Arabidopsis thaliana: one gene and its partner. The protein of the gene in region 2 purifies or fractionates together with the protein of the main gene of each other region. This does not show direct contact. Each region holds a gene or a part of one and is shown on either strand. Other genes may lie near its edges.

Region 1 (5,177 bases), on a different chromosome or scaffold from region 2:
CGCAAATCAACATTTGTACTTGTACGTTCACACAAGACATGCATTGTCCTAGGAGACTAAAGATGGACCGGCCGATTACACCTCGTATCCGATCCAAAAATTATGTGATATATTATCATCATTGAGGATAAAATTTACTATTGATTGTTTCACACTTTCACTGTATGACACTATTTATTCTATTACCCGGTTTAATGCATTATGCATGGATCCCAACGTTACTAGAAATATCCAAAAAATAACAAAAGAAAGAAGAAAAAAAAATCCAATCCAAGATACCCAACATACATGGCCCTAACATTTCTTTACACAAAATGGACAACTCCTCTTTAAGATATTTAAGTACCCAAAGAACCCTAACCAAAAGAAGAAAACTTGGACAATAATTTGGACTCGTAGGCCATAGTACTCAAATACAATTTACTGTATTGACTTTCTGTTTGTTCCAAACTTCCAATTATCAACATTTTCTCTGAATCTTCCGAATTTTCTAGCTGTGTATAGAGAGATGAAAAAAAATCAATTATGGCATTCCCTTTCGGATTGAATACTTAAGAATTCATTAAAAATGTCGATCTATATTACTTCTAGACTCTGTAGAAATGATATAACGTATCAATAACAATAACAACAATAATGGTAAAACAGACCTCTCCCTCTTTTATCTCTGTATCTCTCTCACACACACGCACACAAAACTGCTGAGTCTTGATCATCTTCAATTTCAAGATGAAGATGATTCTTCTTCTGCGCTTCCTTGTGCTGTGGCTTCTTCTCCTTCAGCTTCAAGGGGCTTTTCTGGTCCAGGTCCAGCTGATACTTTCACCATTGAAGGACGTAAAAGCCTTTCACCTAGCAAGAAACCTTTCCTGTATTCTTCTAGTACTATACCCTCTTCGTATTCCGCAGAGTCTTCTCTCATTATTGCCTCATGTAGCTTTTTTCACACAACAACGAGAAAAGCAAAAGGATAAAAAAGAGATGTCAGCTGTTAGGGACTTGAAAAGACCAACAAACAAAAGGATATCTACCAACTCATTGTCATTTAAACCCAACTTGCAAAAGTAACAACCACATCTTACATCTAAAGTCTCCAAAACTTTAGCAGATTCATGCTTAGGACTAGACGCATAAGTGGTTATGTATTTCAAGCTTTGCGATAACCAAAAGGCATCTAACTGAGATAAGTGATCCTAAACCTCAAAGATTTATTGATCATTTGCATCACAAAAGTATCATTCAGCATAATTTGTTCCATCCATCTGATGTAGCTAACTTTCAAAGTAACAACCATATCTACGTTCTGCTCAAGATTATTCCGGCAGCCCTATAGCAACGAATTATCCTAACTTCCAAAACAACTTTGATTTTAAAGATCACGTCCATAGTTAAAAATTAAAACCACCAGCAAGCTGAGCAACAAAAATACAGTTGTCGATCTCCGGAAAGAAGAAAAGATATCATAGTAACTAACCATTGGATCAAACTGCTTGCCGACTGTCTCCACATGGATAACACCAAGTGATCCCAGAATTTCTACAAACTGTTTGTATATGCTCTGATAGCTATTAGTGACTTTCTCTTCTCCCTCAGTCTCCACCTTAATTTGGGATTTAGCTCTCTCGAAATTATCCAAAACAGCCAAAAGATTCTCTACAACCTCTCCTTGAGCATTTGAAACAAGGTTTAGCCTTTCCCTCTCAGTCCTCTTCCTGAAGTTGTCGAAATCTGCACTGATTCTTATAAGCCGATCCCTCTCCACCGATAACTCATTGGATAAAGACGCTACTTTATCCGCAAGCAGAAATTTTTCATCTTCTATGGACTTTAAAGATGCTTCTATCTCAGCAATCTTCCCCTCGTTGTTGTCTGCTAAAGCTTCTTTATAGGATTTCAGCAACGCTGTGATAACAGCTGCTTCTTCTTCCTCAGCTTCACCCTCCTCAGCACTGGCATTTTCATTCTCGACATCAACAGCACCATCCGTCTCCTGCTCCATGATTTCAGAAGTGAAACAAAAAATCAGAAAAAGAGCAATCCAGTTTACATAGACGTTTCCTATCTATTCCTGATAAAAGCTGAGACAGAACACACACTAACGACACAATTTTTTAATGACCTCCTAAACAATCAGATTAACACCAAAAAAGCTTCAGAACATTCTGTGGCCCCCATACAAGAATCACGAAATCAAAATTCGATTTGGATAGTACATACACACCATGGTCTTAAACTACTAGTGAAACTCCTTCATTTTGGGAACACACCATACCACAAGAATATGAAATCTGTCATTCATCGGATTTGGTATATCCTAAGAAACATTAGCATTCACCATTTGACTCCTGAATAGACTGAATACAATCCTATTCATTGCTCTAATTCATGTGAACGTTCCTTCAGAGGGTAATATAATCAATAAAGCTTAAAAATTTAAGCAAACAACAAGCAATTCTAAATTACCATATCCCAAATTCGAAACCCTAATCACCGAACTAACAATGAAATAACCCCCAAGAAAGTTGAACAGAAGTGAGCCGAAATCGAAAAACCTGAACTTCGGGTTCGTTCGATTCCACCTCCGTCTCCGTCGTCTCAGCTTCTCCCGAAGCAAAGGGTACGAGGTTTAGTAAGCGGAGAGGATAGCCGCTAGAGACAGACCGGAGAGAAGCTCGGCGAGAGAGTGAGACGCTAACGTTTCTTCCTCCGGCGAAAGATACGCAAAAGGGCTTAAAGGGTACAGAAGGAGCATGAAGAAGAGTTGGTGTGAGATGTAAAGACGGCGTTTTGAGTAGACCGGCCATCGAAGAGTTCGGAGAAAGAGAAGGAGAGTGGCGGAGAGAGATAAGGAAGATAGAGAGAGAGAGGGCAAACGGTTCTACTCTTCCTCGTCGGATCTTTTGTTTTGTTTCGTTTTTTTAACCGTTGGATTTACTTTTCGTTTTTACTATGTTGATCGGACCGTTGTTGTTCAACAGAGATTACGTAGGGAGTTTTTCAACCGTCGGATTTAGATTTTCTTGAAACTTCTACAGTTTTGTGAATATTTTATATAATACAATAAAATCTCTGTAAATTAATACTCGAGAAGGCTGTTCGATGTTCTATGCCAATGATCTAACTGATTCCTGGTATGATGTCTCCAAACTCTTTGTAAGTTGTCTTCCACTCTTATGGTTCAACTCTTTTTCCAAGTCCACTTCATCACGAATCTCTTCATCTTCTCTAGCGATGACTACACTTTTCTTCAAGTGGGAGCAAATTTATCCAGGAACTGTTGTTCTGACATAAGAATATTTGAATGATTTGTAGTTGTATCAATTTCGCCTTGCCTTTCTTTTGGATCTGAATGTTTCAAACATTTTCGACAATAAAATATGTTTTTACCAATTTGTATCAGTTTTGTTATTGCAGATTCAAATTGTATCATGATCTCATGCATATCGTTGTTGAAAATAACATAATAAGACTTGAGATTTGGGAAATTTTTAGAAGCAATTTTGTGTTATTGACTATAACTAGTTCTACAATTTGGGCTTAGGCTTTATTTACAAAAGGGTTTCCTTAAGCCCAAAGAGATGTACTATATAGTTAAATGTTTGTTTTGGTCAAGTACTAGTACTCAATATGTTATAGATGAAAAGTAATAAGAGAATATCAGGGTTTGCCGGTTTGGGTTGACAACAAAGAGATAGGAGACCATCCATGTTTAATCTATTTTCTAAGTCCGCACACTTAGTTTTGTCAGAAGTAGTGGGTGCAACGGACCTTAATCCTAAATCAGAAGTATTAACTACAAAGTGACTAAAGTTTTAAACTAATTATTAAATATCACCCGTTGTTGAGGCTAACATATCATAAAAGATATTCTTCTTCGACCATTTTACTTTTTCATTTTCCAATTTCTCAATATATTATTTTAGTTAAAATTTTGTAAGTAGATGTTTATCAAAAATTCTCAAGTAAATATCTAGCATATGTTTGGAGGTGACAATCCATATAAGCTTTTAAAATTGAATATCAAATAGTTTAGTTCAAATGTTTAGAATTGGAAGCTAAATAAAGGAAGAATTTCAAAAGCATCTTTTCGAATACCACTTTTCAAAAATATTATATTTCTAATTGTTTATTAAAAGTACTCCTAAGAATATGAGGTTTATTCAAATATGTGTGTAACTTTATTAAAGTATACAAACTACTTTTATATGTGTGTAAAAACTTATAAATATTTTATAAATACAGTATAAAAATAACTTATAAATACCTTGTAAAACAATACCTTGTAAAACATTTTTAAATACCTTCTAAAATCTTATTAAACCATATAAAATACTTTATAAAACATTAGATCGAATCTCCAATTAGTAGTTTACACCAAAAACTTTATGAACTTTTGAGATTTAATGAAGAGTATTTTCTAAAAATAAACACCTAAAAAGTTTCCAATGGTGATTAACAAATTGAACTAGCTGAATAAAATGAGTACTGATAAGTTGAATAAAGATAAGCTGAATAATAAAAAAGAGTTGGATAAACTAGATGAGATGAATAAGTTAGAGAAAAATAAAAGGTAACCTCTATATGTTTTCAACAGCTAAACATATTTCAATATTAATTAGAAACAGCTAAACAACAGGTTGTATTTTATTATATTAATTCTAACGCATGCAACGCATGGGTCTTCCACCTGGGTATATCATATAGATTATGAGTCTGTATCAAATTGGTCATCACGTCGATTGAGAAAAATAAAAATAAAGTCTCTAATCATTTAGTTTCCTTCTTTTTATCGTCCCGTAATTCTCTATTTGTTTAACTTGACAATAAACTTAGATCTCGTTTTTTTACAATTTTTTTTTAAAAACAATAGATAAATATGTCTAATTTTCTTACAAAAAAGTGTATAAGATATTCCCAAATAGCCTACATATAGTATATATTTTGAATGAACGATTCCGCTTAACACTATCAGTGAATTTTGGGAACTCAAAAAGGATTATGACCAAGTTTTGGGTTCAAATCCTACCCTCAGCTAGTTTTCTCGTAGTCAAGTTTGTCTCAAATTATTCGTCCAAAACTCTTCGCTTACAAAGAAAGATTACACAAACTTAAAAAAATATTCAAACGAACGAGTTCTACTGTGGTATCAATCATACACATAATGCGACGATAAGTTA
Region 2 (8,076 bases):
ACTCTGGTTTCTTGGTGACTGGAATTGGAGGAGCAACTTCCACTAGAACAAATCTTGATATCTTGTTCATATCCGTAATCATAATAAGCTTAGCATGGACGATGCAAGTTATCAAGAATGTTCAACAAGTTGCGATTTCACGGGCGAGATATGTAAACTTTGCACATGGAGAAGATATGGACGCTTGGAATGCTTTCCGCATCACTATGAAACACTTGACTGGGAGCATCTGCGTTGGCTCGACGCTTGTTCCAATCATCGTATTCATAAGAGGATCAATAAGAAGTGTTAATCTAATGTCAGGGAGCAGCGATGAGGTCATGTATTCAGGTGCTGATTGCTTCTCTACCATTGCTAACAAACTCATTACACTTGGAAACAGATGGGGCTTTGTACATGTTGGAACCTATGATAAAGGATTCATGGAGGCTTCGAGTGATACCTGGAAGAAGTTCAGAAGCACAACAGGGTTGGAGAAACTGATTGACTCGGATCTCACTAGCTCCTTCTGTTTTCTCAGTGCTGTTTCTGTTGGAGCTGTCTCTTCATTAACTGCTGGGATATGGATGTTGTTAATACACAAGGACTATGCCCTGGAAGTGACTCTCTATGCTTTCATAATTGGATATTTTGTGGTAAGATAGCTAATTTTATAAAACTAAGAAGAAGACTTTAAGACAAAGTGGTTTATGTTGTGTACCTGGTTTTGAGTGTTTTCAGGGAAGGGTAGGTTTGGCGTGGCTACAGGCATGTGTATTGGCTTACTATGTAGCTTATTCTGAAGATCCTCAGAGCATGAGATTTGATGGAACAATTCCACAACGTATTCAGCGTCTTCAAATGTTAAGTGCTCACCGAGATAACAGGGAGCTTGAGGTGGGTAGAGACAGAGAAGAAGATAGTTATAACAATTGTTGAGTCATGAAGGAGTCTCGCTACATACATGTAAAGAAAAACAAGGATTACTACTTTATTTCTTCAAACTTATAGATTCTTCTATTGATAGGCAAAAATCTTAGCTTCAATGTGTTTATATGTATGCCAAAACTCCAACTAAAGAAAGAATGCACATACTTTTTCTCTCAACTTAGCCATTATACAGTGGGACTTAGGATTATTGAAATTTTCAACACTTAAAAATCTTAGAGTTTTTAGTATACTACCAATTTACAGCAAAAAATAACTAAATTTGTTCCATATGTGACACAAGTATACTAGTGATTATAATCACAATCATTATCAACATTAAGCACAAGTACATTCTAATGATTAACGGAAAAAACAATAATCTGAAGCAATAGAAGGAAGAGAAGCTACTGCACATTTGGAATCGAATACCCGATAAGGGAATCCGCCGCAGATTCTGGAGAAGAATTTGCAGTTTGTCGTAGAGAGCTTTTGATTGAAGAAATCAAACAAAAATTTAGGAGGAGAGATCTCGAACCGGAACAAAAAGTTTATATTGGTATTGAAATTACAATTGATTTTGTGTTTGGTTTATACTGGTTTAGAGAGGAAAAGAAAAAAATATTCACGCGATGGTGATTTTAGAGACAAGTGCGTTGATAAAAAAAGGCACAATTTCAGAAGGTAAACCCCTACAGAATTGCTCTCACGCTCTCTACGCGCACTTTGTGAGAGTGGATCTGAAATAGAACTTTCTGATTGGCTAAAAAACTCTAAAAAAATAGCAATAGTAGACATGTTGCTAGCTCTTGTTATTATTTAGCTTTTCTACAAAACGCAGTCGTTTCTATTTCGATCGTTTCAGCTTTTGACATTGATCCGAACCAATCGGTTCAACTGGCTTAGTCTATCCACAGGTTCGTATAAAAAATCTCATTTTTGGTCATCAAATTAAACAGTAAATTTATATTAATTAATCATAAGTTAATGTTTAAAGACAAATTCTATTTCAAATTTCTAACGAATCAGACCTAATTGTCCGGAATAAATGATTGGTTCTGAAAATATCAGTTGGGAAATTAAAACCCGGTTCAATTTGAAACCGGAAACAAGACTAGCTACGCCTCACACAGAGTCACAGGAGAAGCTCCCGCGTCTGCAAGGAACGGATAAAGTCTCTCTCTTTCTCACTCTCTCTCTCTCTCTCTCTCTCAAAGAAGAAGAAGATGTTGACGAGTCCCAGTAACGCACTTCACAGTAGTACTCCACAATTCTGGCCACTTCGCCGGAGCAAGCTTTGCCGTTCCCGGAATTTCCCTCGTTTTCACTCCGGCGAACGCAGCAGCGGCGGAGGAGGAAAATTGTGCTCGCTCTCTCTTCTCTCCGGAAGTGGCGCCGGTAAATTCAGTGTCAGAGCTCTAGTTAGGCCTGATGATACCGACGACGCTGACTCCGTCGGCGATGGGTCTCTGGCTTTTCCTAACCACGTTTCTGTCAAAATTCCATTCGGAAATAGAGAGGTAATTTCTTCAAAAAGCTGTACTCTTTTGATTTCATTGGTTGCAAGTTTGAATTCGGAGTTGATTGGTAGGATTTGAGACCTTTAGCTCCATAGTAGAGAAGCAAAGCTCGCTGTTTAGATGAATGTGTTGAACATTGTTCAAAGTTTTTCATCTTTTCTTTCTTTTTGTCTACTCTGTAGATTTTAGTTGAGACTGGTCTCATGGGGAGACAAGCAAGTTCTGCAGTCACGGTCACAGATGGAGAAACTGTAAGTGTGCTGCTTCATTCAATTTCCAAAACTTTCAACTTTTTAAATGTTTTTGCTTATCTCTTAATCGGTTTGTTAGATGCGGAAGCTTTGTTTTATTTTTTACTCTGTCTACTTGTCATTGTAGATTGTCTACACATCCGTTTGTCTAGCTGATGTTCCGAGTGAGCCATCAGATTTTCTTCCCCTTTATGTTCACTATCAGGAGCGATTCTCAGCTGTAGGTCGAACTAGGTAAGCGTCTTTCAAGCTCTTGCAATTTTGGAGTCTCTTGCTATAAGAAGACCATATCATTGCCTAAATGATGATCTAAATGGACCTTCTTATGGTACAGTGGTGGATTTTTTAAGCGAGAAGGGAGAACCAAAGATCACGAGGTATGTACTAATGATGGTTTTGGTTTCGTCTAATTCGCCATCCTTCTTAACATGTTTCTACTTTTGATTTTTATGCAGGTTCTGATTTGTAGGTTGATCGATAGACCTCTACGCCCCACTATGCCCAAAGGTTTCTACAATGAAACTCAGATTTTATCCTGGGTATGCTTCTTCTCCATGGATATCTTTATGTTCCGATAGGCCCTTTTTTTGTCTGTTTTGCCTCTCTTTGGTTGAACAAAATACCTTTTGACTTGCGCTTTCTTTTGTCTCTGTATGATGGCGTCTCCTGTTTTGTGTGCCTACTACCTTTTTCGGAAAATGATGTACATTGTTTTTTTATACTTAAACATATATGGGATGGTTGTATTCATCTCCTTTGTTTGAGTCTCATTCGTAATTGACCTGTTGCTTGTTTGTGGTTTCAGGTTTTGAGCTACGATGGATTACACGCACCTGATGCTTTAGCTGTTACATCTGCTGGAATTGCTGTGTATGTAGGGTCATCTTTTTCCGTTTACATATGAGTGAAGCTTTTTTATCTTGGCAAAGTTGACATGGCTATGTAATAAATGAATACCGCAGAGCTCTTTCAGAAGTACCAAATGCGAAAGCGATTGCAGGAGTTCGGGTTGGTCTTATTGGGGGTGAATTCATTGTCAATCCAACCGTGAAGGAGATGGAAGAATCACAGCTAGATTTGTTTCTAGCTGGAACAGATACTGCAATTCTAACGATAGAGGTAAACTCTAATCTTTACTTGAGTTTGCAAGATTTGCCCTTTCTCTCCTGTTTTTTTTTTTTTTTCTATACTCAGCCCTTGCTCATTGAAAAATCTGGGATTGCAGGGATACAGTAATTTTCTTCCTGAGGAAATGCTTCTCCAAGCTGTTAAAGTTGGACAGGTATTTCGATTTTTAATTCGGATTATTTCAATTTTTAAAAGTCTGAATTAGATACTAAATGTGAGGCTTTTTCATTTTTACCAGGATGCTGTACAGGCTACATGCATTGCTATTGAAGTTTTAGCAAAGAAATATGGAAAGCCTAAAATGCTTGACGCTATCAGATTACCACCTCCAGAGCTATACAAGCATGTGAAAGTATGTTATACACTTTGTTTCTGTTTCGTTTTGCCAGAATGGAATTGCATTGATATTATTTTGTAATTCATGTTTAAAATGAATTGTTTTATGTACACAGGAACTTGCTGGTGAGGAATTGACAAAAGCGTTACAAATTAAGAGTAAAATATCGAGAAGGAAAGCCATATCGTCCCTGGAAGAAAAGGTCTTGACAATACTGACAGAGAAGGGATATGTTATTGATGAGGTAGCTTTTGGAACCATAGAAGCACAACCGGATCTGTTGGAGGATGAAGACGAGGATGAGGAAGTTGTTCCTGAAGGTGAGGTGGACCAAGGCGATGTTCACATTAGACCCATCCCTCGGAAACCTATTCCTTTAGTGAGTCTCTTAACCTTTTCAACATGATAACTTGAATGTGACCTTTTATCATATTCATTTTTTCTTAAATGTAATGCTAACAAACTAGTCATTTCCCTTTGCTAGCTATTTTCTGAAGTAGATGTCAAGCTAGTCTTCAAAGAAGTATCGTCGAAGCTTCTACGTAGGCGAATTGTTGAGGTACAACATCTGATTTCTTGGTATTTATACCCTAGACATGTATGTTTAAGGATTTATTTTCTCACTGAAGCATTTTATGAACTACACTACATTAAAGAATCTAACATGTTTGAAGCCACACATCTTTCACATTGTCTCCTAGTAATTCTTTCCTAAATTTTCATTTTTGTTTTCACTTTTTCGGAATGAGCTTTATTGATTCCATATGACATCTTTCTTCATCCATAGGGAGGTAAAAGAAGTGATGGTCGGACTCTGGATGAGATTCGTCCAATTAATTCAAGATGTGGACTGCTTCCCAGGGCACATGGAAGTACTCTGTTCACACGTGGGGAAACACAGGTAACATAGGAATGTTGTCTTCTGGAGAAATCCTGCGTGGCTATTTCATATGTCGATCCTTTCTCTTATCGCCTTTTATGTATTTTAAGGCAATTGGTTTGCTAATGAACATTTAGTATGATTCTTTCAGGCACTGGCAGTTGTTACGCTTGGTGATAAACAAATGGCGCAGAGAATTGACAACCTTGAGGGTTCTGATGAATACAAGAGGTTCTATCTTCAGGTCTCTTTTATATTTGTTCTTCTCACTTTGTTATTATTATTACAGTTGACTTTTTATTAGACAAAGTAAACTTTTTGATGTGGTTAGTTGCTTAGTGTCGTTCTTCATTTTTCTTGTTGTGCTTAAAGAGATTTTCTAAGCTAGTCATTGTGATGTTGCAGTACACTTTTCCTCCATCGTCTGTTGGTGAAGTTGGACGAATTGGTGCACCCAGTAGAAGAGAAATAGGTCATGGGACACTAGCAGAGCGAGCATTGGAGACCATTCTACCTAGTGATGATGACTTTCCTTACACAATACGTGTTGAAAGTACAGTAATTGAAAGCAATGGTTCTTCAAGGTCAGCTTTTTTATCTGGTTTTATGATCTGCACGCCTAGTTTGTTTGAATGACAAATTTGGTAATTGCTTCTTACGTTGATCTCAAAATGTGACAGTATGGCATCTGTTTGTGGCGGTTGCTTGGCTTTGCAAGATGCTGGAGTTCCAGTCAAATGTTCTGTTGCTGGGATAGCAATGGGAATGGTTTGGGATACTGAAGAATTTGGAGGTGATGGATCTCCCCTTATCCTTTCTGACATCACTGGAGCTGAAGATGCATCTGGTGATATGGACTTTAAGGTCAGAAAATATGAGGATTCCCTTGAAGGACCTTGCATTGACTTGAATGCTGAAGTTTTGATATGTTTGTCAATAGGTTGCTGGGAATGAAGATGGCGTTACCGCCTTTCAGATGGACATCAAGGTCATCATCCGTTTCTTAATTTACACTACCGAAATGGTTTTAAATGGCAATTGAATTAATATGTTGGTAACATCTTTTCTTACTTCTTCTCTTTAATCATGAACTAGGTAGGAGGAATTACTTTAGAGATAATGGAAAAGGCTCTAATACAGGCAAAAGCTGGGCGTCGCCATATTCTTGGTAAGGAATGTTATTCATGAATTATTAGTCTCAAGATAGTAGACTTGGGGAGATTTAGTTCCTTGGAAAATGTATGCCACAAAAGATGTAATTTACTATATTTTTTTTTTTCCTTTTTGTGCAGCTGAAATGGCAAAGTGCTCACCGCCTCCCACGCTAAGCCTCTCAAAATATGCTCCATTGATACTTATTATGAAGGTTTGGCTTCAACTAGTTTTTCCAGGATTGCCCAGTCTAATGCCTTTCTGCCTTGAACTAAAGATTGTTGGCGTTTCATGTGCTGCAGGTTCATCCAAGCAAAGTATACTCTCTTATTGGTTCTGGAGGTAAGAAAGTAAAGAGCATCATTGAAGAATCTGGAGTTGAGGCCATTGACATGCAAGATGATGGAACTGTGAGATATACATGCAAAAAAATGTGATTTTATATTTATTGGGTATTCTTTATCCTAACTTCTTAATATTTATCTTTGTCAAGGTCAAAATTATGGCAATTGATGTAGCGAGTCTAGAAAGGGCGAAAGCGATTATTAGTGGATTGACAATGGTTCCCTCTGTTGGTGATATCTACAGGTATGTATCCTTCATATACCTTCTCTGACCAAAAAGCGTAAATAGATTTGGATTCTTACCTTTCTTTTTGTATCAGGAATTGTGAAATCAAGTCAATGGCTCCTTATGGTGCATTTGTAGAGATAGCGCCTGGGCGGGAAGGTCTTTGCCATATCAGTGAGCTGAGTGCTGAATGGCTTGCAAAACCAGAGGATGTGAGCATTACTCATTGATTCCCTTCCTTTATAGAAATTGTTTCATCTTTTATTCAGGTTTTCACATACGCTCATTCTTGTCCTTTCAGGCCTATAAAGTAGGAGACCGCATTGACGTCAAATTAATAGAGGTCAGCGAGTTATTGTGTCTTTATAACTCAAGAGACAATATAACTAATCGGAAATGATAATTAGAGAGTTGTTGAACAAAGAAACATGGATAATGCAGGTAAATGAAAAGGGTCAGCTTCGACTTAGTGTACGGGCTTTACTTCCCGAATCAGAGACAGACAAAGACAGTCAGAAACAACAGCCGGCAGGTGATTCTACCAAAGACAAGAGTTCGCAAAGGAAATATGTAAATACTTCGTCAAAGGACCGTGCAGCTGCAGGAGCATCAAAGGTTTCATCTGGGGATGAACTTGTCCTGAAGAAGAAAGATGTAAGGAGAGCAACTGGTGGTAGTAGTGACAAGACAATGAATAGCAATAGCAGTACCAACGAAGAAAGTTTAGTCAACGGTGAAGCTACAATCAGCTAGTGGAATGCAAACAAGATCACTGTTCATATCTGTGTCTCGTGAGACTCATTACGAAAGGAGGAGAGTTTCTTCCAACGGAACCACAGGTGCGACTTGAGAAATCTTGAAAACTTGAGACAAGACAAGTTGCAAATGTCTTTTCTTGATTTTTTTTCTAATGTTTTGTAATTATGTTTCTTGGCAGTTTCTTGAAGCTGTGCATATATGTTGGCAAGTCTGGTGTGGAGGAGGATAACATTTTTGAAGACGTCATATGTTGGGAGATTCTCAGACATTTCATCAGTTCTTTCTGTTGTCTTCTCTCTTGCAAACTCATTAGTCCGTTTAGGTTACTTGATATATTAATGTTTTTGACTAAATTTTATTTGGGATAGATGATTTTTCTTCAGCTTGTCAAAGTTTCCCAATTTTTGTTATGTTTCGAGTTATTAGATGGACTTGGCAACTTCAAGAGTTTTAAAGATCACTTAGCTAAGTGAAGAAAACTATATAACTGGATACATTTCACAACAAGAGCACATATATTTCTAAGCCTGTACAAGCAACAACAGCTTGAGGTCGAGTCCCTTTAACTGCTGC

Evidence for each region. Proteins that work in one complex are often made in the same cells at the same time.
Region 1: the proteins of RIF10 (region 2) and EMB1241 fractionate together in Arabidopsis thaliana (co-fractionation; one large-scale study listed by BioGRID). This does not show direct contact.

The regions. Positions count from the first base shown.
Region 1 is NC_003076.8:5,838,836-5,844,012, forward strand, and holds EMB1241 (Co-chaperone GrpE family protein), read right to left. Parts: upstream 3,024-5,177; 5' UTR 2,805-3,023; coding exon 2,553-2,804; intron 1,991-2,552; coding exon 1,475-1,990; intron 938-1,474; coding exon 725-937; 3' UTR 504-724; downstream 1-503.
Region 2 is NC_003074.8:917,410-925,485, forward strand, and holds RIF10 (polyribonucleotide nucleotidyltransferase), read left to right. Parts: upstream 1-1,952; 5' UTR 1,953-2,132; coding exon 2,133-2,426; intron 2,427-2,608; coding exon 2,609-2,677; intron 2,678-2,804; coding exon 2,805-2,911; intron 2,912-3,011; coding exon 3,012-3,054; intron 3,055-3,132; coding exon 3,133-3,216; intron 3,217-3,482; coding exon 3,483-3,547; intron 3,548-3,639; coding exon 3,640-3,796; intron 3,797-3,902; coding exon 3,903-3,959; intron 3,960-4,043; coding exon 4,044-4,157; intron 4,158-4,257; coding exon 4,258-4,521; intron 4,522-4,626; coding exon 4,627-4,701; intron 4,702-4,929; coding exon 4,930-5,043; intron 5,044-5,173; coding exon 5,174-5,266; intron 5,267-5,427; coding exon 5,428-5,606; intron 5,607-5,702; coding exon 5,703-5,886; intron 5,887-5,962; coding exon 5,963-6,010; intron 6,011-6,117; coding exon 6,118-6,190; intron 6,191-6,314; coding exon 6,315-6,388; intron 6,389-6,476; coding exon 6,477-6,584; intron 6,585-6,667; and 11 more. Other genes in the region: AT3G03700 (Plasma-membrane choline transporter family protein), read left to right, coding at 1-635, 721-918.